4 linked regions of the Elephas maximus indicus genome follow. The protein of the gene in region 3 purifies or fractionates together with the protein of the main gene of each other region. This does not show direct contact. Links are inferred from orthologs where the notes say so. Each region holds a gene or a part of one and is shown on either strand. Other genes may lie near its edges.

Region 1 (7,983 bases), on a different chromosome or scaffold from region 3:
ACCTTTGAAATTAGTGCCACAAAATCCATAAGCCCATCTCTCTGACTCCATACAAGAGACAACAAACTCACCAACATTTTACACTTGATGGTAAATTGCCAAAGAGTGAAATTTTACAATTCTAAATTATCTTGCCAAAATAAAGGCAAATAAAACAGTAAGTCATTTAGAACTTTCCAGAGAAGATGGCACAAGGAAATTTCCAGTGCTATCAGAAGATGTTTAAAGAACAGGACCTATATACTGTGTTTGAAAACCTACTAAGTATTTTTCAAGCCTATTATCACTAAGTAGCCACAATATTCAGTGACTTCGCCTCATTTATCACTTAAAAACCTGAAAAGGAGGCCACAGTTTTTCTTTTCTGGGGGGGTAGGCTATAACCTAGATTTAATTTCAAATAACCTGAACTTGAAAAATGTTTCAGATACGCCATACACAAGGGTGTTCTATTACATTACATTCTCCTCCCCAAGAACTTTAAATCAAAGGACATTCTTCATGAAAGTCAATCTGTTTTCCTTTTATTAAAACAGAGAAAATGCTACTTTATGTATTTTTAAATGAATTCTCTTGAGAAATGTTAGCACAATAGTTTACAAAAATTTTAACATCTCCTAACTGTCTAGAAGATTTCCACTCCCAATAGCCTATTAAACCAAAACGCTAGGACATCTAAATAAATAAAAAAAAAAAAACATTTCCCTGGTTGACCCAATACAAACCGAAAAAACCAAACCCCTTGCTGTCGAGTCCTTTCCAACTCATAGTGACCCTATAGGACACAGTAGAACTGCCCCAGAGGGTTTCCAAGGAGCAGCTGGTGGATTCAAACTGCTGACCTTTTGGTTAGCAGCCGAAGCGCTTAACCACTGCGCCACCAGGGCTCCTGACCCAATACAGGAGTTGGTTATTTCAACATAAAAGCAGGAAATAAGTTTAAAATACATGTAGTATCTTCAAAGGACTACCAAGCAACCAAAAGGAGATTTTACATAAACCCAACTAAAACAGCAGAGGATCATCCTTCTTAGAAACTAGGTATTGAAAAACTAGAGGCTAGCCTCAATTTTTTCAAGTGACAGCATTCACACTCTGCTACCCATGGTTTTCAAAACCTTCTTTCAAGCCCCTGCAAACTCTGGGTTCTTTTTTTTAAGTCTGTTGTAATTCTGTGGTTGAGAGCCATTTTTCCTCTAAAAATTGTCCATACTTATCTATTTTCAGCTTTATCAGGTCACCTTGAAATTCTCACGTCTAAAAAGTATTTCAGGGTGTTATCAATTTGTCTCTTTAAAAATTACCAATGAAGTCCACATACTTTGCAGCCTATTCATGTTTTATGGTGTTTGTAAAGAAGTAATCGTCCTCAGAAATCAAATGGCCCATATAAACTGTTTCCAACTTCCCTGGGCCTGTATCATATCCTTAAAACACCCTGAGATCCTGTATTGTGTACTGCAGCTGTACAGCAGGCGCATGATCACAGGGCTTTTCAACAGCCGCCCCCCCTTCTTACCGCTGCAAAACTTCTCGCAACGCTTTTATGTACTAGACTGTTAACAGAGTCCGTTTAAAAACTGCTAAACAGCTTTACCTGTTTACTAATCCATTCACCTCAGGGAATTCAAATCCTTCAAACGGCCTTCTGAACCACATTTAGAGTAGTTCTCACGTTGCTTTAAGGAAGATCCGCAGCGGGATAAAAAACTTGAGTTCTGATGTTCATCCCCTGACCCAAATTGCTGTTGCCAGGGTATGCGGTAGTAATGCAGTGGTTTCTTTGACACTCAGAATGTATTTTACCCTAGAAACAGTCAACCTCTACTAAATCTTTCTTAGTTTCGGAGATTTCCACACTAACAATACTCGACAGTAAGGTATTTTAAACAGTCAGAGGACAAGTTATTCTAAACTGGCCTTAGTTTTTCCCCAATAATGCTTGCCATTTTTCCACACCAACATCTGCAACTGGAGAAAAAAAAATCGAGTTTTTGGCACTAGTTTTCACATGCTCAGAAAGCCCATTTGTCATTACGTCCCCCCAAATCTTTCTAGGTAGGATTTGGGACTGACTGAGCTTACATCGACCACAGTCGTATAACTTAAACTGCTGTCCAAGACCAATGAACGGCCTAACAACAGCAACATTTATGGCCAGTGAAATCTCAATGTCTGATTAACCAAGAACGCGTCTGATAACTAAGGCACCCTTTTTGCAGGCGAAGAAATGGAAAAATGGGCAATGAAAAGGATTATTATAGTGAGGGGAGACGGGAGAAGGGCCCCAAGAAGATTCGAATGAGCGAAATCCAGGGGTTCCGAAGCCCTGGCCTCAGCAACTCTCGCCCCATCCTCCCAGCGCAACCCTCTTTCCCCCCTGGGAGTCAGCCCTGCACCTCCACAGGCCCGGCCGCCCCGCAGGGCGCACGTCCCCCACTGCCCCCAGGCTGGGGTTCCGACAGCCGAAGCCCAAACAGGTCGAAGCCGCAGATCCAGCGGCCTGAGTTAAAGTCAGAGAATGCGGGTGGGAGAAGATGCGGCCTCGCCTCAAGCTGGGAGGCCCCTTGAGAAAACGGAGGTGGGAGGAGGGCTAGCGGGTTCGGAAGCCGAAGCAGAGCCTGGAAGGAAACAGATCTGGGAGCCAAGGATGAAGAAGCTTCCAGACTCGGCCGGCGCCTTCCCCGGGTCCTCGGCTGCGCCGGTGTTTACCTGAAAGTCTCGGTCCTCGTTGAAGCGGGAGAAGCGGTCCGCCATCTTGCCGCCTTCACTCCTCTCAGAACGACGCTCTCCGGTTCACTCCTTCCCTACCGCGACACCCGCCCCCTCTACTTTCCCTCCCCCGTTCCCCGCCTCCTCCGACGCCCACCGGACGCGCGCAGGCGAGGGAGGGAGGGAAGGAGGGAGTGAGCCAGAACGCCCGTCCTGACGGAAACCCCGCCGGCGCAGGCGCCTTCCAGCCTCGGAGGCGGAACCTTCCCTCGCGTCACCGCTCAGCGCGCTGCCCGGAGCAACCCCAGCGGCTACGCGTGCGGACTCGCGCCCTGGGGCGCTTAGCGCTTCCGGAGGGAAAGGTCAGAGGAAACACGGTGGGGATGAGTCGGGCTGTTTTTCCAGCTGCTCACTTGCCGGTTTACAGCCCTTTTCTTACCCTCCTGGCTCCCTGTGTATGCAGAGGTCCATCGTCTATTTAATTAATCAAATAACAACGTAATATAGTGCGGCGGAAAGCACGGGCTTTAGAGCCGTTCTACTTTGTTTCAAATCCTGGTTTGCCCTGAGGACAAACGGTGAACTAACCAGAAAAGATGCCTTCTCTCAAAGGGCTTACGTTCCATGGGGGAAGTCAGATAACTGACAGTTACACAACTTCAGCTATTAATAAGTATATTTAAAAAAAAACTGGGTGCCATGATGAGAAGGATGACCTCTGAAATGGCCTTTGACCTGAGAAGCGGAAGGGGGCCTGCAGCCTTGTAAGGTCTTGAGGCAGAAGGAATATTAGACCAAAAAGCCTTATGAATGGAAAGAGTTTGGCATTTACAAGCAATCGTTTGAAAGAAGTATTATTTCTCAGAGGTCTGAACAGTTGATCCAATTCAGCTAAAGCTCTCTAGGCCTGTTTCCATTTTCTAAAATAAAGAAATTGAGTTTGGTAATCTGTATCCTCCAGACCTGGTGGTGAAAAGCTTAAGAGCTTGGCTGCTAACCAAAAGGTCAGCAGTTTGAATCCACCAGCCACTCCTTGGAAACCCTATGGGGTTCTACTCTGTCCTGTAGGATTCCTGTGAGTTGAATGACTCAAGGGCAGCTGGCTTGGGTTGGTTTTTTTTTTTTTTTTAAACCCTCCAGCTCTGCACTGACTGTGTGGGTCATAAATCAGACTTATCAATCCTATGACCTTCCTGAGGATCCCACCCAGCCCTCTAGTACCCTTAGCTAAAGTACATAAAACACACAGGTGTGGCAGGACTTCACTGCTTTTGAAAAGAGCTGTTGGTGGTAGTAGTACCTTTGAGTCAATTCCATGTGCAGAATAGAACTGCTCCATTGGGTTTTTCAAGGCTGTGACCTTTCAGAAGCAGATTGCCAGGCCTTACTTCTGAGGCACCTCTGGGTGCATTCGAACTGCCATCCTTTAGGGTAGCAGTCCAATGAGTAAGACAGTGGTCCCCAGGCTGCAGAAAATTCCACCTTTTCAAGCAGCTTGCTTGGCACACCCATAGCTTTACATTAGAATCCTGGTTCCTTTGCTTGACAAGCCTCCTCCCACCAGCTTTACATTTAAATCCTGGTTCCCCTCTCCTTAACTGCTTCCCCCAAACTGGAGAAAATTGGCAGAAACCAATTTAGGCGCCATGCTGATATTCAGGATAACCTTTTGGACCTCATACATAGTAACTTCCCCGCCTCTGGGTAGAGTTTAACCATTTTCTGAACACATGATGCCTGTGTAGTATGATTAAGAGTTGCTGATGTAACTTGCATGAACTTCCTACTTGTAAACCCCTTAAAAGTAACCTTCCCCCTTGCCCTCCCTGAGCAGTCTTGGCAGCAGCCCTAACTGTCTCCTTTCTTTATACAACCAAATGAGGCGCCTTTCTACTCTCCCACCTCTGGTCTCTCGTTTGGCTGAGAAGAGTCGCACTGAGCAGAACCTGGGACTGTTTTTGAAAATAGCAACAGCACAGAAATCACACAATGGAAAAGCAGCCCTTACCCTGGCCCTGAGAAAATAAAATGGAATGTAATTGTTTGGAGGAAGTGTGGTTATCTTCTATTCCTTTGATCTTCTATTCCTTTGTTACCGTCTGTCCTACCTGACCCCCAGGCCAATTATGAAACAGCTCTAAGAAGTGAAAAGACATCCCCATCTAAGCGGAGGCAGAACACATTGAATTCATACTTCGTAAAGTGACTTGAGGGTTAAGTAGCAGATTGAATCACGTAGGTACACATCATAAATTTACTTCTCTCTCTCCAAACCCCACTAAAATGACAAAGGGATGAGAAGGGTATAAACTCACATGGACAAAGAGAGCAGGAGGGGGACAACAACAGACAAGAGATGTCAACAAAATTTTAGAAGGTAGAGAGCATAGATAAGTGGAAATGGCTTTGAGAGAGTAGAGACAGTCCTGGAGTAGGGGAAGCCAGGAAACAAGCTGATTTTCGTGAAGAACACCAGAAAATCTTGGGAATTGGAGTCATTGCTAGGTAACTCTTAAGGTGAGAGTGTGGATGAGGCTGAAAACAGGAGGATTGGTTGGTTACAAGGCAGTTTAAGAGCAATTAGACCCTAAATTCCATTCCTTCTCTAGGGGAGCAAGCTGGAGGTTACCCTCTAGAAAACTGGAACCAAGAAGACTGGGTTTTGACATGTCTAGCACAGCTGAGGTAGGGGGTGCCAAGCTGAAAACAGGAGGATACAGTAAAAGCCAGCATTCCAGCGAGAGACCAAGGGAATCTCTCCCTGGGGAAACTGACTTGTTTAGGGAGAAAAAAAAAAAAATGTACAAGCACCAACAACGGGAAGGAGGAGATTTGTCAACAAAAATGTCAGTTCCTGCCCAAATACCATAAAAAGAAGCCCATAATACAGCAAGCCCCATCTACACAGAGCTTTGACTCAGCTTTTTAATGCCTCACTCTTAAGTATTAAGGAGCCCTGGTGACACAGTGGTTAAAAACTCAGCTTTAAATCAAAAGTTCAGGAGTTCAAATCCACCAGCTGCTCCTTGGAAACCCTGTGGGGCAGTTCTACTCTGTCCTGTAGAGTCTCTGTGAGTCGGAATCGACTTGATGGCAATGCGTTTCTTAAGTATAAATGGATAGCCAAGGATTACCAGACATTTGAGGGGAAATCTGTAACAGGAAAGACATAGATACCCTCCCTCAAAACACACACGAAAACAGCAAAAAGGAATTCAGAGGCGCCAGAGATAATGAAGGAGCCCTGGTTGCTCCATGGTTAAGCACTTGGCTGCCAACCAAAAGGTTGGCAGATGGAATCCATCCAGGGAGAAAGACCTGGCAATCTGCTCTCATAAAAATTACAGCCCAGAAAATCCTATAGGGCAGTTCTACCCTGTCACATAGCGTCACTGAGAGTCGAAATTGATTCAGTGGCACCTACCAACAACAGAGATGATAAAAGGAACAGAAAGAAACATCAAGAGAGTTATAATCAATATCCACAGAGATAGAGATCGTAGTAGGGAACAAGGATAGGATGCCAAAAAAGAAAAAATATTTGGAAATAAAGAAAGATTTTTGGAGATTCAAAATTCTTAAGCAGAAATGAGAAATTTCATAGAAAGGTTAGAAAATAAAGTTGAGGAAATCTCTCAGGAAACAGAGTAAAAAGATACCCTGGTCCAAGCCACCTTCACTCTTCACTTTCTCCTGAATTACTGCAGTAGCTACTAAGTGTTACCCTTGCTTCACCTTTGTCCCTTGCATTCTGTACAGCAACTATGGTGATCCTATTAAAAAGTCAGTCAGATCACGTCAGTCCTCTGCTCCAACTTTCGAGTGACTTTTTCTGTCATTTACAGTATAAAGTCTACTGACCACCACCACCTCCCTCTCAAGCCTCATCTTCTACTATGCTCCCTGCTTCCCTTCTCTCTGGGCACACCAGACCTGCTCCTGCTGCGGCCTGCCCTATTTTGGGGCTTATGGATATGCTGTTCTTTCTGCCTGGATCATTCTTTCTCAGATATTCACAGGGCTTTCGCCCTCATTTCCTGGTCTTTACTCAAAATGTTACTTTCTCAGTAAGATCTTTTTTGATCACCCTATTTGAAATTACAGAGCCCTATATATTTATTTTTTTTATATAAAAAAATTTTTTTTTATATATTTTGAACTCCCTAGCCTCTTCCCCTGTTTTGTTTTTCTTTATAGTACTTATCACTTTCTAACATATAATTTTCTTACTTCTGCTTACTGTTTATATTCCTCCACTAGAATATAACCTCCACAAGGGCAGAGACTTTTTTTCAGTTTTATTCACTTCTATATTCCCAGCACCCAGAACAACGACTGGCACATCTATACCAAAGCCAAATCCATTGCTGTCAAGTTGATTCCAACTCATACCACCCCTATGAGCTCCTATGGGCTCCCAACTGGCACATATCCATCACTGTTGAGTCGATTCCGACTCATAACAACCCTATAGGACAGAGTAGAACTGCCCCATGGGGTTCCCAAGGAGCGCTGGGCAGATTCGAACTGCCGACCTTTTGGTTAGCAGCCGTAGCTCTTAACCACTACACCACCAGGGTTTCCTTAGTGGGTGCTAAATAAAGATTTGTTGAATGGATGAAATAGAAAATAGGAAGGAACAGATAAGAAAACTTGAGCTTGAGCATCAATCCAACATCTGAATAGTAGGATTTCCAGAAAGGAAAGAAAAAAAAATAGCACTAGCATATGAAAGAAATAACATGTGAACATTTTCTGGTACTGAAGGGCCCAGTACACAGATTAAAAGTAACTTGGTGCCAGACACAGCACTGTAAAATTTCAGGACAATGGGACAAAGAGAAGCTCCTAAATGTTTCTCGAAAAAAAAATACCTTCCATGTGAAGGATAAGGAATTGGAATGGCTTTGGACATCTCCAAAACACCAAAGCAGAGAAAACTAGGGGGTAATGCCCTGGAGATTCTAAAAGAGGATGGTTTCCAACACAGAAATCTATACCCAGTTAAACCATTAATCAACTGAGAAAGAGAAAAAAGATGTTTTCAACCAGCAGGCTTTCAAGAAAATTTACTTCCCACTTACCCCTTCTTTGGAAGCTATTAGGGGATGTTTTACAGCAGAACGAAGGAGTAAAACGAGAAACAGAGAGACTTGAGATCCAGAAAGCAGGGATCTAACCAACTAAAGAAGCAAAGAGAATTCCCAGGATGACGATGTGGAGACATTCCAGGATGACAGCTGTATATCAGGCCTAACGAACACCCAGTCC
Region 2 (6,986 bases), on a different chromosome or scaffold from region 3:
TGTTGGGGTGCTAGGAAGAGAAATGCAGAGCCCATTAAGCGTGCCTGATGAAATGGGGTTATCCGAACAAGTCTTAACCGATATGTAGGGGTGCAAGAAAGTGAAATATGCGGCCTATTAGGTGCAGTCAATGAAATGGGGTCCTTTGGACAAGTGTTACCTAACTCCCACAATCACAATTTCTGCTTAGTTTGCTCTTCTGACACAACCACCGTGAATTGTGGGCTCACGGCATGGTTTGGAGCTAAACCTTCTTCTTTTTTTTTTTTTAATCTTTATTGTGCTTTAAGTGAAAGTTTACAAATCAAGTCAGTCTCTCACACAAAAACTTATATACACCTTGCTACATACTCCCAATTGCTCCTCCCAGTGAGAGAGCCCGCTCCCTCCCTCCACTCTCTTTTCATGTCCATTCTGCCAGCTTCTAACCCCCTCCACCCTCTCATCTCCCCTCCAGACAGGTGATGCCAACACAGTCTCAAGTGTTCACCTGATCCAAGAAGCTCACTCCTCATCAGCAAACCTCTCCATCCCATTGTCCAGTCCAATCCCTGTCTGAAGAGTTGGCTTTGGGAATGGTTCCCTGTCCTGGGCCAACAAAAGGTCTGGGGGCCATGACCACCGGGGTCCTTCTAGTCTCAGTCAGATCATTAAGTCTGGTCTTTTTACGAGAATTTGGCGTCTGCATCCCACTGCTCTCCTGCTCCCTCAGGGGTTCCATTGTGTTCCCTGTCAGGACAGTCATTGGTTGTAGCCGGGAACCAGCTAAACCTTCAGACTTTTGATCCACAAGATTGTGAACCTGCCCAGAGAGCAGGTGACATGTGCCACCCTATAGTGTCTCCATTCGGCAGGCAGTGCTGGATGAATGTTTGGTGAATAAATGCATAAATGACAAAATCTCGTTACTTAAGAAAGTACCTGTTGCGCATCAGGGAAAAAAAAATTTAAAGAGTTGCCTAATTTTGAAAAGAATACACCAAAAATCAGTCACAGAAAGGGAGTGGTCTCCTTTCCAAGCAGTCGCCCTGGAAGGCCACACACCGCTTCCTACGGCGCTGCTAAAGCACAGAGCACGCGGGAACTTCTCTTTCAGAGTGATCTTCAGACCTGCAGATCGCTCTCCTGGCTCTCTCTGGTAGCAGCAAATTTTCCTCCTCAAGGTGGGTTAGTTTCAGAAATAGTCAGAAGTCATTCAGAGCCTGGTCTGGAGAATGAGGTGAGTTACCAAGCCAGGTAAGACAAGTTTTGGTCAAACATGTAGTATGACTATTAAATATGACTGATTTTCTCACATGGCTTACATATTCATTACCGTAACAGGAGTGCTAAAGACGTACTGGCAAAGAAACATCAATGAAACAGAAACATAACCTTTTGGGACAACTGTTTTTAACAACGCAGTGTCTACCTGGATACTTAAGTTCTGGTTTGTCTAGATAAAATTCAGGTTCATAACTTTACAGACTTGTAACACCAAAACGAAAGACTGACTCCTCTATAGTTGACAATGATAGCATCACCCAAATTTACTAAATTTGACCACCAGAAGAAAAAATAAGGAAACACCTTGATATCATTTGTAGCTGTGATAAGTCAAAACCCCTTCCAACACGAGCACAGCCAGAACTTACCTGTATGCTCTCTGGAATGACTCCACAAAGCTTTCTTCAGCTGTCTGAGCATTTCCCCTAACACTGGAAAGTAGTTTCAGCTTTTGGGACCTGGTTGGACTCTACTCAAACGCTCAGACTGTAATGTAATCAGGCAGAGACTCCCCTCCCAGGGCGTGAAGTTGGAATCTCCCTCAGTCCAGGCTCACCTGGGAATCCCGACCACTGCCTCAGGAAGGGACCATTCCACAGGCAGTATGACAGAGGTGAGTCCTAAAGGAGGAATGAGGAACCATTGATACACCCCAAACTGAAGTTCAGATGTCATAGTCCCTTCTTCCATTTCCCTCAAGTGGAGCTGAGGACTGGTTTAGTCTTGCAAATGAGTTTGTTAAAAAAAAGTTCACTTAACATAATCAACCATTCTGCCCAGCAAACTCAGCTGTCACAAAGTAACCAGGAAAACTTAAGGTTTTCGCAGGAGCAAGACTAGTTAAGTCTTAAAGTCTTAGGTTCTTCCAGCATCATAGTTGCAGTTAGTTTATTCTAGGGGCCCAGAATCCTTTGGGGTCCTAAATCAAAGAGACAAGTACATTACTATTTCTAAGACGCTGGAGAGCATCTCGGGCACAGCAAATACGTCCAACCTGTGCACACTTTCGAGGCGAGGGAGCAAGTTCCAGGTGGCTCCAAAGAGCTCAAAGATCCCCCAAAGAGCCATCAACACTTGGGGCCGGCCTAGTCCGGAGGACAAATCCGCATGCCTCTCACCCTCCCTTTGTGGACGGCAAACATGTGCCACGCGAATGCCCGGATGAGAACTGACAGCTTCAGGAAAATAAACTCCACCCGGGGCGCGAGGGCAGCTCGCGAGGAGTCCAGACTCTGAGGGGTTCCAGGGCTCCCGCGGGCCGGGACTCGCCGCGGACGGAACGCGGAATCGTGCCTGTCTCAGTATCCCCCTTCCCGGGGGCCCAGAAGCCACGCTTCGGTCAGCTGCCCCCACGGCCGGAGCGCGCAGCCTGGGGCGCTCCACGGAAGCGACGGCGGCGAAGGGTTCCCTGGCCTCGGCTCCCGCCACCGCCGCCACGCTCCTGCCTGCCGCCGCCGCCGCCGAGGCGACCTCCTCCTCCCCCCGCCGGCGCCGCCAGCCCGGCCTCCTAGCCGCCCGCTCGGGCCTCGCTCACCTCAGCGCGAGCGCCGAGAGCGGGCCACTGCTCCGCTGGAGTTGGGACGGCGCGGAGTAGACGTCCCTCTGCCCTTCCGCTCCTCAGACGCTCCGGCTTCAAGCGCGACGCGGGCGGAACAAACGGGCTCCACTACCCGCGGGGGCCGGCCATTGTACGACGTCATCAGGCCGCGACGGTCGTCCTGGGGCAGGCGGGCTTCCCTCGCTTGTTCTTCCCTGCTCCCTCTTCCTTCCGGCCTCCGCGCGGCCCCGCCCCCCGGCCCGCGCCCACCCGATCACCGTCGCGGCGCAGGCGCCGTCAAGACGCCCCGCCCCCCGGGGCGGGGCCCTGAGCCCGCGCTCTTGACGGGGCCGCCTGAGAACGCCTGCGTATAGGGTTTAACGCTCCCGCGAGCGCTGTCATGTGACGCGCCCTGTCAGGTGACGAGTGCGCCGCGGCTTTCCAGGAGGAAGCAGGCGATCCCCGGTTCGCCGCCTCGCAGTTTTGCTGGCTGACGCCTTCGGAAGAAAACATCTTATTCTAAATATCAAAGCGGAAACACGTTAATCTATCTTCCTCGGATGAAATATTTTCTCGCCTTATCAAATGTAACCAGCTTTAACATTTCACCTTTTGCCGGTCAGAAGACGTTGAATGGAGACTCAGGGCATTTTTTACTGATGACGAACTTTTCACAGACTCTCAGGGTTGACCATCATCACTGCCATCTGCAGAACAGCCAGGCGGGCAAGATGTCCATTTCAAAGATGAGTAACCTGAGGCTTGGAGCAGCCCCGCCCGCCCAGAAGCTAATTGAGAACTGAGCAGACAGTGACTGCGCACCGGTCACCATCCTGCATCCAGTTACCGTCCTGCAGGCGCCGCCGCGATGCCCCAGCCCAGGGAGGGAGCGCCAGGCAGGCAGCGCAGCTTCGGGGGCGTGTATGTCGGAGTTGCAGTTCCCCCATGTACTGCAGTGTGGCCTTGAGACAGTCACTCAGCGTATCTAGCCTCCGTTTTCTTATCGGTAAATTGGGGATATTAAGAATGTGGTTGTGGATGAGTGCGGATAAGGGGAAGGCAGGATGAATGAGCCCCCCAGTCCCAACTCACACCTTCTTCAAAAGTGGTGCCTTCTCAGAAAGATTAGTCCAAAGGACTAAGGGACTGCAACTACCATGGCCTCCACCAGACGGAGTCCGGTACAACTAGATGGTGCTGGGCTACCACCGCTGACTGCTCTGACAGGGACCACAACAGAGGGTCCTTGACAGAGATGGAGAAAAATGTAGAACAAAATTCTAACTCACAAAAAAGACCAGACTTACTGGCTTGACAGAGACTGGAGAAACCTGAGTGTGTGGCCCCCTGACACCGTTTTAGCTCAGTAATGAAGCTGCTCCTGAGGTTCACTCTTAAGGCGAAGATTAGACAGACCCCTAAGATAAAACAAGACTAAAGGGGCATACTAGCCCAGGGGCAAGGACTAGAAGGCCAGAGGAGACAGGAAAGCTGGTAATAGGGAACCCAAGGTTGAGAGGGGAGAGTGTTGATGTGTGGTGGGGCTGTTAACCAGTATCATAAAACAATGTGTACGAAGTGTTTAATGAGAAACTAGTTTGTCCTGTAAACTTTCATTTAAAGTACAATTTTTAAAAAATGGTGCCTTCTTAACTATTATTTGAGGTCTTCTGTTGACTCAATGCAGGTGTTTAAAAAAAAAAAAAAAAGGCAAAATGGAAGCAGGAGAGTGAGACCTGAGAGGAGGCTGGCAGAAAAGGGAGGGGGCAGAGGTAGTGCTTCTTTAAAGAGCTCTTTCCCTGGCTCCTCCTGAGCAAACCCGTGGCTCCACCTGGGAAACCCTTAATTAGTAGTGCTCAAACATGGCAGTGAAGTCTTTTAAAAAATGAACATTTCAGTTGCCTCTTGAAGGATGAAGAGGGTGACTGGTTGGAGTAGGAAGGGGGAGCATTCCAGACAGAGGGAATGGCTTTGGCAGGGCTCAACAAGGGTCTTCAGAAGAGTTGGAGTTGAATGGGGAGGGTGATCAGGGAGAGAGACTGGACAAAGTTGGAAATCTGCTCTGCTTGCTCTGGGAGCGACAATCTGGGGTAACCACGGCCCTGTGCTTAGAAGGGGCTATGCTTGGTTTAGTGCCTGCTGCCACCATCTTAACATTCTTAGTTTGTGAACAAGGTGCCCTCCATTTCAGTTTTACACCAGATCCTGTAAACTATGTAACCGGTCCTGGGGTTGACTAAGGGTTTTGAGGTGTGGAGCAGAGCAGGCCTCTCCTCACCCCATCTTCCTCCTCCAGTGGAAGGACTCTTCATTGGGGTTCTTGTGAGCCCACCGCCATTCGTTCCACACATGTATATGTCTGGCCATAGTGACGTTAAGTGTACTCATAGATGTTTGCCTCATGTTCCCTGAATGAATGTGTGAGGGAATAAATGAAGACATTAAATACAGAGTTACAGTATGACAACGCAGCAATTCCACTCCTGGGTATCTACCTGCGAGAATTGAAAACACACGTCCATGCAAAGACTTGTACGTGAATGTTCGTAGCAGCACCATTCACAGTAGCCATAAAGTGGAAACAACCTGGGCGTCCATCAGTAGATGGATGGATACACACAACGTGGTATATCCACACGATAGGATATTATTCGGCTGTAAAAAGGAATGATGCCTTGATGTATGCTATGACATGGATGAGGGCATTTTGAGGGGGAGGAGGAATGATGGGATCTAGAAAGCAGGCTTTTAAATATTTAGTAAAAATTTACTTGAACTTAAAAATATTTGGAGGATGGGTGTGGGAGGGGTGGTGTGGGAGACAGCAGAATCTTCCTTTTCCGGGGGAAAAGGTCGATACACGTTTTCAAAACTCAGAATGTCAAGAAATAACCGTATGAATATTTTATTAGAAATGAGGAAAAGGCCAGAGGACAGAACTCAAAGAGTTGAAACAGTTGCCCCTTGGGAATGAGAAATGGGGGTGAAAAGGGACGTTTAAAAGATTTTATTTTTATAGTGTTTTAAGTGAGTGTTTACAAATCAAGTCAGACTCTCATACAAAAACTTATGTACACTTTGCTGTATACTCGTAATTGATCTCCCCCTAATGAGACAGCATGAAAAGGGACTTTTTAAAAAAATCAGCCCCATTGAGGTATACTCCACTTTTGGTAAAACACACATCGATGAGTTTTTTGCAAAGGTCTATACCTGTGCAGTCACCACTGCAATCGAGAGAGGACATTTCCTCTACATAGAAAGTCCACTGGTACCCCTTGCTGTCATTCCCCAACCCTGTATTCTGCCATGACAGTTTTGAGTTGTCTTTCCCAGTGTCACATGAATGCATGTAGTGTGTATCTGGCTTCTGCCACTCAGCACGATGTTTTTGAGATTCATCCACGATGTGTGTACCAGTAGTTGGACAAACTGTTGTGTTTTGTTGTTGCTGTTTTAAGCCTTAGATTTTTAGACAATATATTTTAAAAAGGAAGAAAAAGAAATTGATGGCAGCTACCATTCCTGAGAGCCTGCTGAGAGTTAGGCACTTTCAGTCACCAACCACCTCCTTTAGGATCCAGGCTCTTAGTCACGGAGGCCAGGATTTGACTCTTGGCTCCAACGCTGACTAAAAATAAATGTGTAACTTTGATTAACTGTAGTTGTTTCCTCGGGCTGCTGTTACAAAGAACTATAAAGTGGGGGGCATAAAACAACAGAAAATCTTCTCTCATAGTTCTAAAGGTTAGAAGTCAGAATTTAGGGTGTGGGCAGGGCCTCGCTCCCTCTGGAGGCTCTAGGGGAGGATCCTTCCTGTCTCTTCCAGCTCCTGGTGGCCCCAGGCATTCCTTGGCTTGTGGCCCCGTCACTTCAATCTCTGTTCTGTCCTCACATGGTGTTCTTCCCTATGTGTCTCTCTTCCTTCTGTGTCTCTTTTCCTCTTTTTATAAGGACACCACTTATATTGGATTATGGGCGAACCCTACTCTAGTATGACCTATTATTACCTTAACCAGTTCCATCTGCAAAGACCCCATTTCCAAATCAGTGCTGCCCCGATTCCTGTCATGCTGGTGCTCCCCAATGTTTTGGCGTTTGCATGTATTTGCCCAGTTTTTATAGTTGTCTTTAGCAGAATGGTGTGGGGTTGGTTTGATACAAAAGACTCAGTTTGAAAGCT
Region 3 (7,049 bases):
CCTACTGCAGCCTTAGGTGAGTCTGGCCCAGGGAAAGCCTGAGTGGGGCAGAAGCCAGCTCGAGGCCCAGATACCCCACATCAGGGTCCGGCCCCTTCCTCTACTGGGGTCAGCCTAGCTCAGACCCCACCTTTCCTAGTCATTTACAGGAGTTTCCCTTTGCCCTGGCCCCTGCCCCATGGGGGACTCCAGAGCTTGCTGTAAATCTAGGGAGTCCAAGAGGCACCCAGGAGGCCTCCAGCTGCCTCCCAACGACTATGGGCAACACCTCCCGATTTAGTGGCAGCTGTGAATACCAGCCTGCTGGCACCCCCTCCCCTTCCCTGTTCTCTGTCTCTCTCTGGGCCTGGGGCAAGGTTTCCTGCTGCAATGGACAAACCCAGGCCCAAGCCCTGCGTGTCTACAGCTGAGGCTTCACTCACAGGGCCAGGGGAGGTGGAGGCCTTACCTGAAGAATCTGTGTCACGAGGTAGAGCCAAGGTTCTAGCCCACCATCCAGCAGCTTCAGGAATTGGGGAGGGAGGTACCCTGGGGCATGAGGCTCCAGCTAAACCATGGATGACAATGGTTCCTGGGGCTTACTCTCCCCCCTCTAAGTAGAGGGTATTGGGGGGGGTCTCTTCAGTCTTGGGTGTGGGTATTCAGTCCAGTGTTGCCACTAGAAAGCTCAGCCCTCAACCTGCTGCCCTTAGAGGGACTCTTTGAACCCTTGCTTCCCTGTGGATGGGAGGAGGGGAAATGCAGAGGAAGGCACTGGAGTAAAGGGTTGCTATGGTGATGGAAGTTTTAAAACATGGGGCAGGGGAGGAGTGAGGTGTTGGTCAGGCCTCCTCTCCAATAACTCTGAGACTTTGGCCTGGTTCCTTCCCCACTGGGAAGGTTCTGTGACATGGGTCCCCATCAAGGAAGGGGATGTGGGAGTACAGAGAGACTTTAGAAAAGAGAGAGAGAGGCAGGGACACAGGGAGACAAAGGCAGAACCTGTGATTGAGGGGGAGCAAGGAGGCCACAGAGAAAAAGGGGCACAGGCAGAAGGGGGAGGGAGGTGAGTAGGGGGCTCTGAGGGGCCTATGGGTGCCCAGCAGAGCCCTAAGGCTTCCATAGCCGTGTGCTCTGAACACCTGTGCCAGAAGCTGTCCCTGGTGCCTGGATCTTTGGCACCAAACCCTCCTATATCCCCTGAGCTTGGTGTGGGAGACAGGGCCCTGGGGAAGAAGTAAACTGTTGCAGCCCCTCAGCCAGGGCAGCCCTCAGTCCCTCTCCCTGTCATCAGAGTAAGGCAGATCTAACATGTTGAAGGCACAAGGGGTAGGGGGAGGGATGGAAATGAGGTTTGGAGAACTGGCTGCCTCCTTTTATGGCCCTCCTCTCAGCTGATCCAGCTCTGCCCCCCACCCAGCCAGGCCCCCCCCCCATCTGCTGTCTTCTCCAGGCCTTGAGTCCCTAGGGCCCCTCCTGTAACAGCCTAGTCCCCCTGTAGTGGATCCTGTCAGGAGAGGGCTAGGAGTGGCACCCCAAGCAACTCAACTGGATAACAACTGCACAGCCCTCCCTCTATGCCTCAGCTTCCCAGGGCAGAGATCAAGGACTCAGTGGCTTCCTCCCAGGATGGAGGACTACCTGCCTGCCTGTGAATGGTGGCCAGGACATGGGGCCAGAGAAGAGGGAAAGTGGCAGACATGTCAACAGCCAACCGTAGGGCACCTGGGTGCCCATCCCAAATGCAGTAAAAAAAAAAAAAAAAAAGGGAGAAGAGACCCTGGCCCCACCCTGGGATTAGGCTGGCACTGAGGGAGGAGGAATCACAAATTTCCCAGTTGAGGTAATGAGGGCCCAGCAGGCAGCTGGAGCTGGCAAAAATCAACTGGGGGTGTCAAGTCTCTGCTGGTGGGCCTGGGGGGTGCTCAAAGCCTAAGGCTGGGAGAGGGGAGTCAGGACAGGGGCTGGAATGCTACGGGGTCTGAGCTTTTGATGAAAGACAGAGGCCCTGCTCCCTAGGAGGGAACCTGGTGGAACAGGCTCTGCCCCGTGGGAGTGGGGGGGGGGGGTGCGACAAAGGCAGTTTGGCAGAGCTGTGGGGGGCTGGGACTCAAGAGCCTGGGGTCTCTTCGAGACACTACAGGCTCGGCTCACATTGTCTCACCCCCCGACCCTCCACCGCAGGGGCCCTGCCCCTCACCGTGGTGCCACCTTGACCCCCTTCCCCAGCGCTCCTCGCCTCCGCTGGCACAGCACACACATGCGGGAGGCACACGTGTGAGCACCAAGCCCCGCATCCCAGCGGGAACATGTGCCACCCCCACCCCGCACGTGGGACTGTGCCCCAGACCCCCGGCTGGCCTCCACGTCAAGGCTTGGCAGCTGGAAGTAGGCTGGGGGGCCGTGGTCCCCAGAGAGTTGGGGCCTCCTTCCCCACCCCGCGGCAGCCCCGCCCAGCCCCCTACGGGTTGTCTCCAATAAAGAACTCTCCGTTGTCATGGAAATTAGTGACTGCTTAGCGGGAGGGAGGGGGCCGGGGGCAGCTGGGAGGGGCTGGAGGCAGCTCTGAGAGCTGGGAGGGACGGCTCTACCCTCGGCCCCCACCCCCGGGAGGCACCACGAATCTTCGAGGGTTAATGTTTTCACAATTCGAAGCCCAGCGAGACGGACTAGGGTGGCGCGGGGTATTAGCCTGTACTTAAGTCGGACAGGCCCCATCTTCCCCAGGGACCCCCAAGCCGTCCAAGGAGACAGGGAACTTTAGATCAACCCTGCACGCCGCCCCCGGATCTGCAGAGCCCGCGCGTTCTAGCCCCGCCAAGACCCCGCGTCCTCGCCGCGCCCCCGCGCATTCTGCGCCCCGAACCTCGAGCCGGCGGGACTCAGTCCCCCAGAGCCCCCCAACGTGCGTTCAGGAAGCCCCCCCGGCCCGGCCCGCTCCCCACCTGCAGCGCCGGTCCGTCACGGGGAGGAAGCGACCGCGGGCTCAGCTGGGCGCCAGGCGCTCCGGGGGCGGCGGGCAGAATCCGCTCCGGGCACGCGGGGCAGACGCGGCGCCAGCTGCAGCCGCTTCGGCTCGCGAACCTCTAGCATCGCCAGCCGCTAGCCGGCATCGGATTCGCACCCCGGGCCGGGGGCGGGCTGGGGGCGGGGCCTCCCTTAGCCAGCCCCGCCCCGGGCCCAGGAGGAGCCTGAGGCCGGGATCTCACGCGCTGGCCAGCAGACGCGGGATGGCAGCGAAGCCCGTGAGCGCTGGCCTCCCTAGCCCCGGCCGGGCTCTCAAATGCTCCTTTAGGCCCTCAGACTCCTGACCGGGCAACAAGGGCCGAAGGGAAACTTCCTATGCCCATTGTAAGAGGCAGGGGTTGGGTTTGGGAGGGAGCCTGAGGCCTGGAGCTGCACAAAAGTCCCTTGACAGGCAGTAGTCCCCAGGGGATGGGGCACTGTCCAGCTCCCCAAACCTGACCGAAAGGGCAAAACCACGTGGACAGTCGCTAGAGCAGGCTGCTTCACAGACTGGCATTGCCTGACTAGGAAGACATGGGGAGTGTGAGTGGGTTTTCAGTGTGCAGCATAGTTAGAGCCCCAACTGTGGTGGCAGAGCTTCCTATCCCATCCTGCCTCCCAATCCTGCAAGGCCAAAGTCTTCTCCATTCCCAAGTCCCAACCAGGGTGGCTGGTTCAGTCTGCACCCTCCTGTGTGGCACAGAACTTCCCAAGCTGTAAAAGTCACCTACAATATGGTGTGGATTCTGCTTTCTTTCAAGTCTAATCAACCTCAAACATTTCGTGAGGAAGAGCAGCATAAGAGACCTGGGAGAACAGTGGCACGGAGGTGCCCTGCCAGGCTTGACCCCTGTCTGGAGGAAGCTCAGAACTGCAAGCAAGAAACTTTCAAGGAAGCCTTTGGCCATTTCTTTGTACCTTGTGGGAAGGCAGATAAACCCAGTGCCTGAACCGCCACTCTCACAAGCCCTGAGGATCATCCTGAAGGCCAGACCTAGGCCTCACAGTGCCTGGCACTAGGCTCAACCCCATCCCATTTCACCCCTCCCAGTGATTCTTCTGACCTGGCCCTAGTAGGACAGAGTTATCCCCAAACCCTCACCCATGTCGAGTGGTTTTCCCTAGCTTACCCAGTGAGACTTGATTTCCCTTGCACGGTTCCCCATAGATGATGGCAGGAGGGATTGCCCAGGTGAGGAAGCCAGGGCCAGGGCTGTGGTTGCGGCTGGAAGGCTAGCCTAAGGAATGCCTCAAACAAGGCCCCTCAAATTCTTCCTCCAGAAGGGGTGTCAAAGAGCCCTTCAAATCTTTCCCTGGCTTTGGGTTACCTCCTTCAGGCCTCTGGGCTCTTTGGGTCTCAGTCCCAGCACCAGCTTTACCACTGGGTCAGCATCTCCTGGAGTGCTGGGGATCTGCAGGGCAAGTCTGGCTTCTCATCTCAGTTTGGTCAGTTAACATCTGCAGAATGAATGAATGGCCTGGCACTCAGTCCTTCCTGTGATCTGCTGACTGTCTGTGAAACAATAGGTCTCTGAGTTGTGTGGTGCAACTGAAGCATGTCACACATGTTTCCTACCTTTGCCGAGGTCATGGCTATCCAGGCAGTCAGGAGTGGGAAGCCTAGGGGCCAAGGAAAAGCTGGAATGGGAGATTTAGATGCAGGGAAAAGGTTGACTCCCTGGAGCCCTGCTGCTGCTGGCAGTACTCCACCTCTTCTTGGTCCTGTGCACACACCGTGTGCGTGTGGGTGAGAGCACATGGCAGGGTGTATGAGTACACGTGTGTGTGTGTGCTCTTGTGCTGAGGGAGATGGCAACAGCACAGTGTGTGCAGTGGTGCTCAGGGGCACGTGTGTCTGCATTCTGTGTGCACCCAGGCATGCTTGCTGGCACGTGTATGCGGATGCTGTAGCTGGCCCTGGAGCCACTGGTCCTCCCTGCCTCCCTTCCTGACAGGATTCTGGAGGCTGAATCTGGGGGAGGACCATTAGGGTGGGACAGCAGGGCATGGAAGAGGCTGGACCATGCCCAGAGGCAGCCAGGGGCTGTGATGACCCTACATGGTTGGCTGCTCCCAGTACCCCCACCCAGAGCAGCCCCTCACAAGTATGTAGACGAGAACCTAGGGTTGTGGCTAGGGCATGGCTTGTCCCATCAGCCTCCAGGCAGGGAGGCACATGAAGGGAAGGGCCAACTCCAGTGTTTTGGCTGCAACCTCTAGCTGCCCTCCTGGTAGGGCGAAGGGGTAGCAGCAACAGCTGAACACTATTCTCTAAGCTCTTCCAGGCAATGGACCGGGCTGATGCAGAGCTTCATTCCTACCCACATTCAGAGCCAGATGGAGCCAGGAGCCATTGCTTCTAGCCACCCTACTGGCCAGAGGGGTGGTAGGAGTCCCCGCAGCCCCAGGCAGAATTTGGGACAAGAGCAGGGCAGTTAGCATTGGCATTTCCCAGTAGCCTCTATGAGGACCCTCTTGAGGAGGCCTCTGCCTGACACCCTGCAAACAGAGGCTGCCTTGGTTAGGGGACTGAGGAGAAAAAGGGGGCCCAATGTTTACAAGTCTGGCTTGTGACCAGAGAGAGACAGTCAGGGTGCCAGGACAGGGTATGAGCCTCCATATCCACTCTGGGCAGAGCAGAGCCTCATCCTTCAGCTCAGGTTGTACCTCCCACCCATGATCCAGAACTTATCTGCTCCCCTCCTGCCCTGGGACACCAAAGGCTGGCACTCCCATACCCTCACGCTCTGGCTGGCCAGCAGGAGCCCCTGCAAACCCAAAATGGAACTCCAACCAAGACCCAGATAGCACCTGCATCACCAGGCCAGCTCCCCAAGAAGCCCAGACTCTGACATGGACTTTTCCTGGGGCAACAAACACTCCAGGTCCCCAGTTTTCTTTGGAACTGCTTGGTGGTTGTTCATGTCACTGGCCTCCACCCCCAGGAGAGGGCCCAAGAAGTGGGGTAGCAAGCATCTTTCCTCTAGAGCTTGGGGAGTGGGCTCCCCCACCTTCATCCTTCTCCCCCCACCCCATCCCCATTGTGACTCACTTTAGGCTGTGTGGGTTATTACATTATGTTTGAAATTGCCATGGCAACCAACTGGCAATCAAGAGTAATTGCACTTGTCACCAGGGCAACAGGGCAAAACCCACACCAGCCACTCTCTGTGGTTGCCCTTGGGGTGCAGTAAAGGTCAGGCTAGACCAGAGCCAATGTCAACCAAGGGGCTTGGAGGCTTCCTGAAAAGGGTGGGATTGCCAGGGCCCATGGAGTTTGTGTGCAGAGGCAGGATACGCCTTGGAAGTGCCAGGGTCTCTACCTCCAACCCCACGCCCAAACCCCTATTCTTCCCTTCACCACCCTGTGCCCAAAACATGCTACAGTGTTCAAAGTAAGCAGAACCATAACTTTTATGCGCTCACAGATGGTACTTATAGATGGCCCACGGGCCCTCCTCCTCGTACTCACGACGGCTGAGCCACAGGCTCTGGAAGGAGTCCCGGGATGCCATGATAGAGCCCCCAAGCCAGGCAGCGACAGCACGGTGGGGAGACCCTAGTACGGTGGCACGGGGGCCCAGCTCCTGTCTCAGGCGCTCAGGAAAACCTTTCAACAGGGTGCTGCCACCATCCAGCACCACATTGGCCAGCAGCTGCTCTTGTTGCTTGGCTTCCAGTTGGCTGATGCTTAGGAGGGCCAGCTGTGGGAGGCCCGGCTGGTTGAGGCCTAGCAGGTTGGGCTGGAAAAGGGCCTCAGGGCAGCGAAAGCGCTCAGAGCCCAGTGTGATGACCTGCTTGTCTGGGAGAACAAAGTCCACACAAGCCTGGGCCTGGATGCTGGCCATCTCTGCTGCCATATCCATAGCCACATAGCAGCTGGCCTCCTTAATCTGGTTGACCAGCCCTGCCTTGGGCAGTGAGTGGCCACCTGCCAGCAGCAGCTGAGCCAAGTATTCAGTGAGGTCATAACCAGCAACGTCCAGCTGGTAGGTGTCAATTGGGGCCAGGTCCCCAGTGAGGATGGGTGCCACATAGGAAGTGCCATGGCCACTGCCGAGCAC
Region 4 (8,004 bases), on a different chromosome or scaffold from region 3:
AACTTCCTTCTGTTAGGAAACACACAAGTAGGGCAATCAGCAAGTACTTCTGGGTACTCAAAGGACATCCTAGTGTACAGGGCTTTCTAAGCCCTTTTTATTTTTTAACAGATAATGGAGCAGCAAGAGAAAGGGAAAGCTGAGGAGAAAAGCAGATGAAAAAGGCAACCAACTGTTAATGAGAAACAAAAGTTCAGCCACTTGACGTATCAGTTCTATCCCTGCTGGCCCCTGCCAAGAGTTTCCAGTACCTATCTACTAAATGCTCTCTCTTTTATTGTCAGAGCCCCAGACAGTCAATCAGAGAAGCAAAAATACCTCCAGATTTGAAGCCCAACTTCATCTTCGCACATCCGTTCCGGACCTCATACTTCTATTACCTCCCAGAAAGTCACTAGATTTTCTTCCTCACAGTCACCTGCCTCACACCCAGCACCACCTCTTGGTCACAAGCTAGAAGTCAAGAATTTAGGTTTCTTTCCAATTCCATAAGCAACCCCTTCCTTTCCCAAAACTGCAAACCTGGACAGGCTTCTTCTTTTTGTCCTCTTCCTCCTCCTCGTCACTGGATTCTTCACTGCTGCTGCTCTCTGATGCTTTGGCTGCAGCCTTTCCAGGATGCTGAGGAAGACTGGCCTGCTTGGCAGCTATAGCTGAACAGCACAGGCACCAGTAAGAGTTAGCCATGTGGAACAGAAAGGCTACAAATCCTTTTCCTGGAACCACCACCCCAAGCCCCCTGCCCTGCCTTACCAGCCTTTTTAGCTGGAGGCACTTGGGTTTTTTCCTCCTCGCTGCTATCCTCACTGCTGTCACTGGATGAAGTCTTCTTCTTAGCCTTCTGAATTACTGGCCCATTTGCCTGTAACTTCCGCTTTGGGGCCTTAGCAGACCTGCTAAAGTCAATGATGCTAACTTCTGGGGCACCAGGACCTTCCCAAACCAAGGAACACAGCCCAAATCGCCCAGTGGGAGAATACAGACAATGTGGAACAGGGAAAGCTTACTTGAGCCAGAAACTATAGATGTCCAAGAGGGAAGAGGCGTTGGCATCCTGACGGGTCTGTAGGGGAAAAGAAAAAGAGCCAAGCAAAATTTTATACTGGTTATTTTAGGAGAGATCAAATGTTCCGTTATGCTTTAAATGCTACCTACTAATCCTGTGACTAAATTTAGTACAAACATTAAATTTTCATAAGACTGCTCCTACTTGCACACATTAAGGAAAAAAAAATTCCATTTGTATATTTCCCAAAACTTGGGGCATTCCTGTGGTTTGTGGTACTATCTATCTTCCTGCCTATTTATCCACTATCAAAACCTTACAAAACATGCATTCTCTTTACCAATGTGTCATCTAGGAATGTATCCTTACTCATAAAACAAGGGCACAAACATTTATACAAGAAAATGTTTACTGTGTTTGGTTTGTACTACCAAATTGCTGAAAACAAGACTCCAAAAGAAAATTAGTAAATAAGCTACCAGTCGAGTCAATTTCGACTCATAGCAACCCTACAGGACAGAACTGAACTTAATCTCTGAGAGTGTTTTCTTCTCTATAAAATGAAGATAATACTACACACCTCATTAAGTTGATCATAGGATAAAAAATAATGCATATAAAAGAATTAGCATCCAATCCTTAGTAAACTCTCCACGATTAATAGTTTCTGTCTCATAAGACCAAAGAATTCTAACTCTGAAAGACCCAACTCTATCCAACCCATTGCGGAAACACTTTCTGCAGTCCCCCTAACAGTCAATACAAAATTGATCCAATAAAAAAAAAAAAGGGCAGTTATATCAACTTACAAGGCAGGTTATCCCAGCTTAAGGAAGTTCTTTCTGAAGCTGATCTAATCACCTCCTTTCAAAGACTGATTCTGCCACAAAGGACAAACCTACCTTCTCAATCATGTTATTACACATGCTTAAGACTACTATTCTACCCTTCTCTGCAGGGGTTTTCCCATGCAGTCATGTCTGCTTTCATTGAGATGTGGATTCCAAATCTGTCATATTCCTGGTTATCCTTCTCCTACACATGTTTGGAGCATCTAAGTTACCATAACTATATTAACCGTTTTTACTCATTGATGCTTGCAGCACATCAGGCACTAGGATTGCCACTTTGTATACATCATCTGGCTGAAACTCACAAAAATTCTATCAAGTGGATGATGTAGAACTACAAATACTCAGAGAGGTTAGTCAAACTGCCCCGGTTTCTGGGCCTGATCTTAAACCTAACTTTGATTCCATAAGCCGAAACTCTAAGCCCACTGCTATGCCTGCTTGGTAGAGCCATGATATACTCAGCCTTTGTTTCAATATCACTAAGAGCAGAACCCTGCCTCTACTTTCGTTCATTTTCTTCTTTACTCACAAAAACCCTTGCTTTCATTTCTGAAGCAATTTCACTCGTCTTTAAGTCTTGGACAATTGCGAATTACAGGTCAATTCACGCTTTCCCTCGGCTAACGAAAAGCCTAAAAAGCGCCACCAATACCCTTGGACACCAAGCTTCCCCCAAGAACACCGCCAGCCCACGTGACCTGGACCACGCGGGCCCCACACTGCAGCCGTTGCACGGCTCACCAGGAAAATGTAACAAGACTCAGCGCTATCTAGTCAAACCTCGTGAAAAAGGAAGTGCCGAGGCTTTGGACTTTCCCCGGTCACCGCCGAGAGCTCGGCACAAAGGTCCTGCAGACACTCGACTGGCGGATTCCACATACCTCCCTACCCGGAACCCTAAGCATGTCAAGGCCCAGAGCTTTGTGGTCATCCCTCCCCAACCCGCGCCCCAAGCCCGGGACTCACAGCGCCTGTCGCCTTGGCGAACTTGTTAGCCACTTCTGACAGTTGGTTGTCGCGCAAGAAGCCGAGCACTAGGGGATACAGGTCGCTAGGAACCACGCGGCGCAAACCGGCGTCCGCCATCCTCCAGGATACACGCGTCACTACGGTTGCCCACGCAGCACGATTTAGAAACTCAGGAACACAAGGGGGAGGGCTCGCGTGACGTCATTGCGCCGCGCGGGCGCATACCGGAAGTGTGGTATTCTACATAGCAGTCCCACCTCCGCCTCCGAGGTAGGGTCAAGGAGGAAATCTAAAAATTTCTTCCGGTCCTACGCGTGTCGCCATCATGGTAAAGGCGGAGCCCGCCGGCCGTCACTTTGTAGGAGGGGAGCTCTGACGTCAGGAGTCACGCCCTCTGCCGTGGCGGGAAAACTCTGGGCTTCCCGCGCGCTGTCCTTTTGCTGGAGGTGCTTTCAGAGCAGATTCCCGCGCCTCAGCTGGTGAGTGGACTGGCCGGCTCGACCTGTGCTACTGTCTAGACTTGGTCACAAGACTTCCCAACAGCCCCCATTCTCGTTACAGGTGGATTCTCACTCTTCATCTTCACTGTCTCCAACACTCAGGGAGGCCCTTTCTCAGATACCACCCTAGCCTCCAGACTCCCATCTGTCCTTCAGGTTATCCGTGGTGATGAAAGTGTTGATCCCCACAACTTTCCTGTCATGACTTGCCCTACACCTCCCACAGATTTCTAACACATAGGCCTCTCTACCCCAATTACTCAGCCTTAGGTCAGCTCCATGAAAGAAAAAGGATAGTGCACCAAACCTCTGGATCACAGCAATCCCTCCAACCCCTAGTCCAGAAAATAAACCTTGTATCTCTTGGGTCAGAGCTCACACTGTGAACTCTCTGTGGGAGAACTGGGGAACCCCTCCCTTTGTCATGAGTAAACCCAATATCAATGCCCAGGTCTGCCAAGGAAATTCCAATTTCTGCCGTATTTCAAGTCACATTAGCAGACAACAATCCCTTCAATCTGAAGCACTACCCCTTGACTACTTCCTCTTAATGCATCCCCTCAGGAAGGATAAGAATCCACTTCCTCATGGATTTCCTCTTTCTCAAAAGAGGCACTCCCCTCCCCTAGATACAACTCTAGCAGTCCTATTCCCCAGAGAGAAGGTGGCCACATCTGTCCACATACGCGCATTCTTTAAACATCTGGCTGCCTGCAGTGTGTCAAGAATTGTGCTCAAGCTAAAATGGTGAACAAAACAGACGGTGAATGAGAAAACCTTTATTTGCAACAAGTGTGAGCTCTCTCTACATCCTTGGTGAAACAATATCCCCTTGTTAGAAATGTAGAATCTCAGGCCCAATTCCAAAAGGACAAAATCAGAATCTGCATTCTAAACAATCTCCAGATGACTCAAATGCCCTTTAAAGTGTGAGATGCACTGCCTTAGATAGCTGATTTCATAGACAACACACTTCAGGAGTCAGTCAAGTAGAATTTTGTACCTGACCAGAGAAAGGTCCTAGGAACTTAATGGCATGAGTATATCCCTGATTATGTTCAGAAAGGAAAAGTATGTTTGGCAGTAGCATCAAAGAAAGAAACACAATCACACTTGAGAGTTCTCACTAGTTCATGTTTATTAATTAGTCTGCATAGTGACTTAAGATGTTCCGAACACTGGGGGAACCCCTCAGCCCTAACCATCTTACATAGGAATGCAAGTTATCTTGTTTCAATACCTGTTATAAAAAACAAATACCCTTTAAAAAATCTGATTTTACACATTTTTTATTTCACTTTTTTCCATTTCTTTATAAAACAGTCATCTCTTCACTAGCAGCTCTCTCCCCTAGAGTGGGGGAGGGGGATGGAGGAGGTTGGGCACCTCCAAAGAAAAGGGGGGGAGGAGAGCCCAGGGTTACCTCCTGAGGTTCTTCTGGGCCTGTTTCAACAATGTGTCAAAGTCAAGAGAATCGAATTTGCTCTTTACAGGGGCAGGGTCAAAGTCTTCCCGGTTGGAGTCTATAAAGAAAGACCAAATGTCAGGGTTCAAAGGTCTCTGACCACTGCTTCCCAACCGCAGGGTCCTCAAATGGCTAGCCACCTCCCATCCCAATAATGAACGGAGTTAAAACTGCCTTGATTTTAAGTCAAAGAGACACAGGAGAACCCCATTTCTCTTCTGATCTCACCCCTCAGGTTCTTCACATGTCAGATGAAGGTTAAGTCTACCTAGCCCCACACTCAAAGGCTTGGGAAGCCTTCTAGGGAGGCGATGAAATGTGCCAAAACCTCAGGCCCTCCCTGCACTCACCAAGATCAGAATAGCTCCTCTTGCAGAACTGCCTGCGGCCCCCAAAGCAGAGATCAAAAGGCTGTTCGTCAGCCTGCCGCAGCTTGTGGCCACTCTCAATGGCTGCAAATGCCTCCTCGGCATAGCGATAAGTGACGAAGCCGTAGTTGTCACTGGTGGGGAGGGTGAGGCAAGGGCTGGGATGGCCATTTGGGCACATACCATGGAGCAGTGACAGCACCAGGGTACAAAGAGGGTCTGTGGTGCTTCTTCCCACTCCCCAAATAACCAACCCTCTGATCGTAGAAATGAAGGTGCTCTACATTGCCCAGCACACCAAAGCAAGGGGGAAGGATGAAGAAACATCAAGGTAGCTGAATGAGGCAGAAAGAACATCCTGACCCTAGGGCCCAAGCTTACCCTTGGACACGGAAGTGGATGGTGCACTCCTCAATCTCTCCAAAAACCGAGAACCTCTGTTTCAGCTCTGACCGAGTCATGCGGCCAGGTATCTTCCCAATAAAGACCACCCTTCTCTCTTCCTATGTTGGAGCAAGGAAAAACAGACCTGCCATGAGCCAGGATCACAGCTACACTCAGCTCTTTGAGCTCATGGCTCAGAGGGAAGTTCCTCCTTCTCCCATAACTTGCTCCTCTACTCACTATTGCACGCTCCTTCTGCAGCACTCTCTGCCTTTGGTAATGGTCACTCGAACGGTAGGAGCTGTACCTGACAGAAGAAGGTTTCATCAGCTCCCCAGACACAAGACAACCCAAGACTCAACTCTCAGGTGTCTGCATCCCAGGTACACTGCCTCCCTAAACATGCTCACCGTCGCCTCCTGTCACTTCTCCGGCGGGGGGATGGGGAGCGGGAACGGCTTCGAGAACTGGACGAGGAGGATGAGGACGATGAGGAAGATGAGGAGGAGGAGGAAGAGGAAGAGCATCTTCGGGAACGCCCAGAGGAACTGCAGCTGGACCTGGAGGATAAAGGGGCATGCAGGAATGCTTGGAGTAGTGCAGGTATACTCCACTTACCTCACCCTGGCCCCAGCGCTGCCTCCCTGTCTGGAGGCTCAGGACCAGAGGCAAAGCAGAGCAGATGTCTAGAAGAGCACTTTTCTTCACAGATGAACAAACTGAGGCCCTTCAAGAGAACTTTACATATATCTGGTATGTTTTGACAAAGACCATACTTATCTTCAATTGTGCAATTAAAAACTGAAAAATATTTAACAATCAGAAAGAAAAAAAAATAGATAAAGACCCAGAGAGAATAGGAGTGGGCCCTTGGTCTCACAGCCAGCTATCTGTGGTGCTAAGGCCAGACCTGAGTCTCTGGCCTACTGCTCCCTTCCCATGACTCACAGGACTGCTGTGACCATGGCATTGAGGGGAGAAGACTATGCTAGACCTGTACAGGGGCCATTTCTGAAAGCATCTACCACCATCAAAAACCAAGAATTCATTAAGTGGGAAAATTTGGGTTCATTATTAAGAGTAAAGATACTGCCAAGAAATAGATGAGGCCACAGTGATACCCAAAGAAACTGCCCCAAACTCTTTCCTCAATAGATGATTAAGGGAAGGACTATTTCCTGTTAACAACTCACTATCCCGCCTTCCCACATACCACCAGGAAAATGCCATAAATGAGGGCCAATATGATATGTGAGGGGATCAACATGGTCAAGGTAGAACCGTAAGAGTTTCCCCAAGGCAAGTCTCAAGGAAGCAGGGGACCTCAGGGATACCCTATACTCCAACACAGGATAGAAGCTTTCTTCCCAGTTTGTCTCCTTCAACAATCTAGGAAAGGAGACGACAAACGCCAAAGACAGAAACAGAAACCTTAGTGCCTAAAAGTATCAAAGTTAATGTGCAAAAGGTTTCAAAAGAAAACCACAGAGAGGAGTTCATGAAGCTCCTAAACAGAGTGGACCTAACAGGCCACCAGAGCTCACCTTCGCCACCTCTTGTGTGGGGGGGAGAGGGACCTGGACCGGGAACGGGATGAGGAAGACGACGATGAGGATGAGGAAGAAGATGCTTCGCTGGTCCCGTTGGACCCAGAGCTGATAGAATGGCTGCTGCGGCCGCGGCGGCCCTGCCAGCCCCGGCTTGGGGGGCTGGCTGACCTGCAGGCTTTTCGATAACAGCGTATTGACTGCTGCTTGGCTGAGGATGCAGGGGGAATCCTAGTGTTCATGTCATTCCGGCAGGGAGAGGCCTCAGGGGACAGCAAGGCAGATGGGGCAAGGCAATGGGCTGGGGGATCTGCCTGCTCACTGCTAGTCCTGTGATCAAGCGGCTCCTTGGAGGCAGCTGTGCGTGGGGGCAGAGGGGCAGCTGGGCCCAGGGACAACACAGGCTTGATGGTGATGTCCTGATGGCGTTTGACATTCCATCGGGAGCCCACCTCTGGAATGACTAAGGCAGGCGTCTTTTTGGGGGGGGTCCTGCTCCGGACACAATAGTCATGGTCCCCAGAGCCCACATGGACTGGACTAGGGCCATGGACCCCTTCTTGGAGGCGGGCTGCAGCTGGATGTTTGGCCTCTGTAACTCCTTCAGGCTTCAGGGTTCCCTCCTGGGCGGTGGACTTAGGAGATTTGGCTTTGGCCAGCAGTGAGACAGCAGCCAGGGGCTTCCATAACTGGTGGGGAGGGGTAGCTGGAGGGGTGAGCCCTGTGGGGGGAGGGAGGATGGAGATAGCAGGGTGAGATCCCATTCTCTATTTCCAAATACTGTGCACACAGGCTCCAGAGACCCCCACCTCATCTCAGAAAGTACACCAAGCACGGTCAACAGCCCAATTTCTCCCACTGCTGCAACTGCTCCTTCCTGTGTTCCCCGTATCAGGGACCAGCAATAGACA

The links.
Region 1: the proteins of CAMKV (region 3) and GPATCH8 purify together in Homo sapiens (affinity purification with mass spectrometry; 3 studies listed by BioGRID and IntAct, counting the BioPlex papers as one, with this or other methods). This does not show direct contact. The link is inferred for Elephas maximus indicus from reciprocal best matches to the Homo sapiens genes CAMKV and GPATCH8.
Region 2: the proteins of CAMKV (region 3) and ZC3H18 purify together in Homo sapiens (affinity purification with mass spectrometry; 3 studies listed by BioGRID and IntAct, counting the BioPlex papers as one, with this or other methods). This does not show direct contact. The link is inferred for Elephas maximus indicus from reciprocal best matches to the Homo sapiens genes CAMKV and ZC3H18.
Region 4: the proteins of CAMKV (region 3) and NOLC1 purify together in Homo sapiens (affinity purification with mass spectrometry; 3 studies listed by BioGRID and IntAct, counting the BioPlex papers as one, with this or other methods). This does not show direct contact. The link is inferred for Elephas maximus indicus from reciprocal best matches to the Homo sapiens genes CAMKV and NOLC1.

Annotation. Positions count from the first base shown.
Region 1 is NC_064837.1:51,005,687-51,013,669, forward strand, and holds the start of GPATCH8 (G patch domain-containing protein 8), read right to left. Parts: upstream 3,016-7,983; 5' UTR 2,758-3,015; coding exon 2,713-2,757; intron 1-2,712.
Region 2 is NC_064839.1:53,895,714-53,902,699, reverse strand, and holds the start of ZC3H18 (zinc finger CCCH domain-containing protein 18), read right to left. Parts: upstream 3,001-6,986; 5' UTR 2,801-3,000; intron 1,887-2,800; 5' UTR 1,823-1,886; intron 1,816-1,822; exon of another isoform or gene 1,635-1,815; intron 1-1,634.
Region 3 is NC_064838.1:54,290,322-54,297,370, forward strand, and holds the start of CAMKV (caM kinase-like vesicle-associated protein), read right to left. Parts: upstream 3,006-7,049; 5' UTR 2,925-3,005; intron 1-2,924. Other genes in the region: uncharacterized protein LOC126063634, read right to left, coding at 6,408-7,049. UniProt on the Homo sapiens protein: Does not appear to have detectable kinase activity.
Region 4 is NC_064834.1:53,751,086-53,759,089, reverse strand, and holds the start of NOLC1 (nucleolar and coiled-body phosphoprotein 1), read right to left. Parts: upstream 3,015-8,004; 5' UTR 2,947-3,014; coding exon 2,827-2,946; intron 1,064-2,826; coding exon 1,008-1,063; intron 897-1,007; coding exon 754-896; intron 654-753; coding exon 523-653; intron 10-522; coding exon 1-9. Other genes in the region: PPRC1 (peroxisome proliferator-activated receptor gamma coactivator-related protein 1), read right to left, coding at 4,749-4,852, 5,145-5,296, 5,544-5,665, 5,787-5,853, 5,957-6,106, 7,091-7,814. UniProt on the Homo sapiens protein: Nucleolar protein that acts as a regulator of RNA polymerase I by connecting RNA polymerase I with enzymes responsible for ribosomal processing and modification.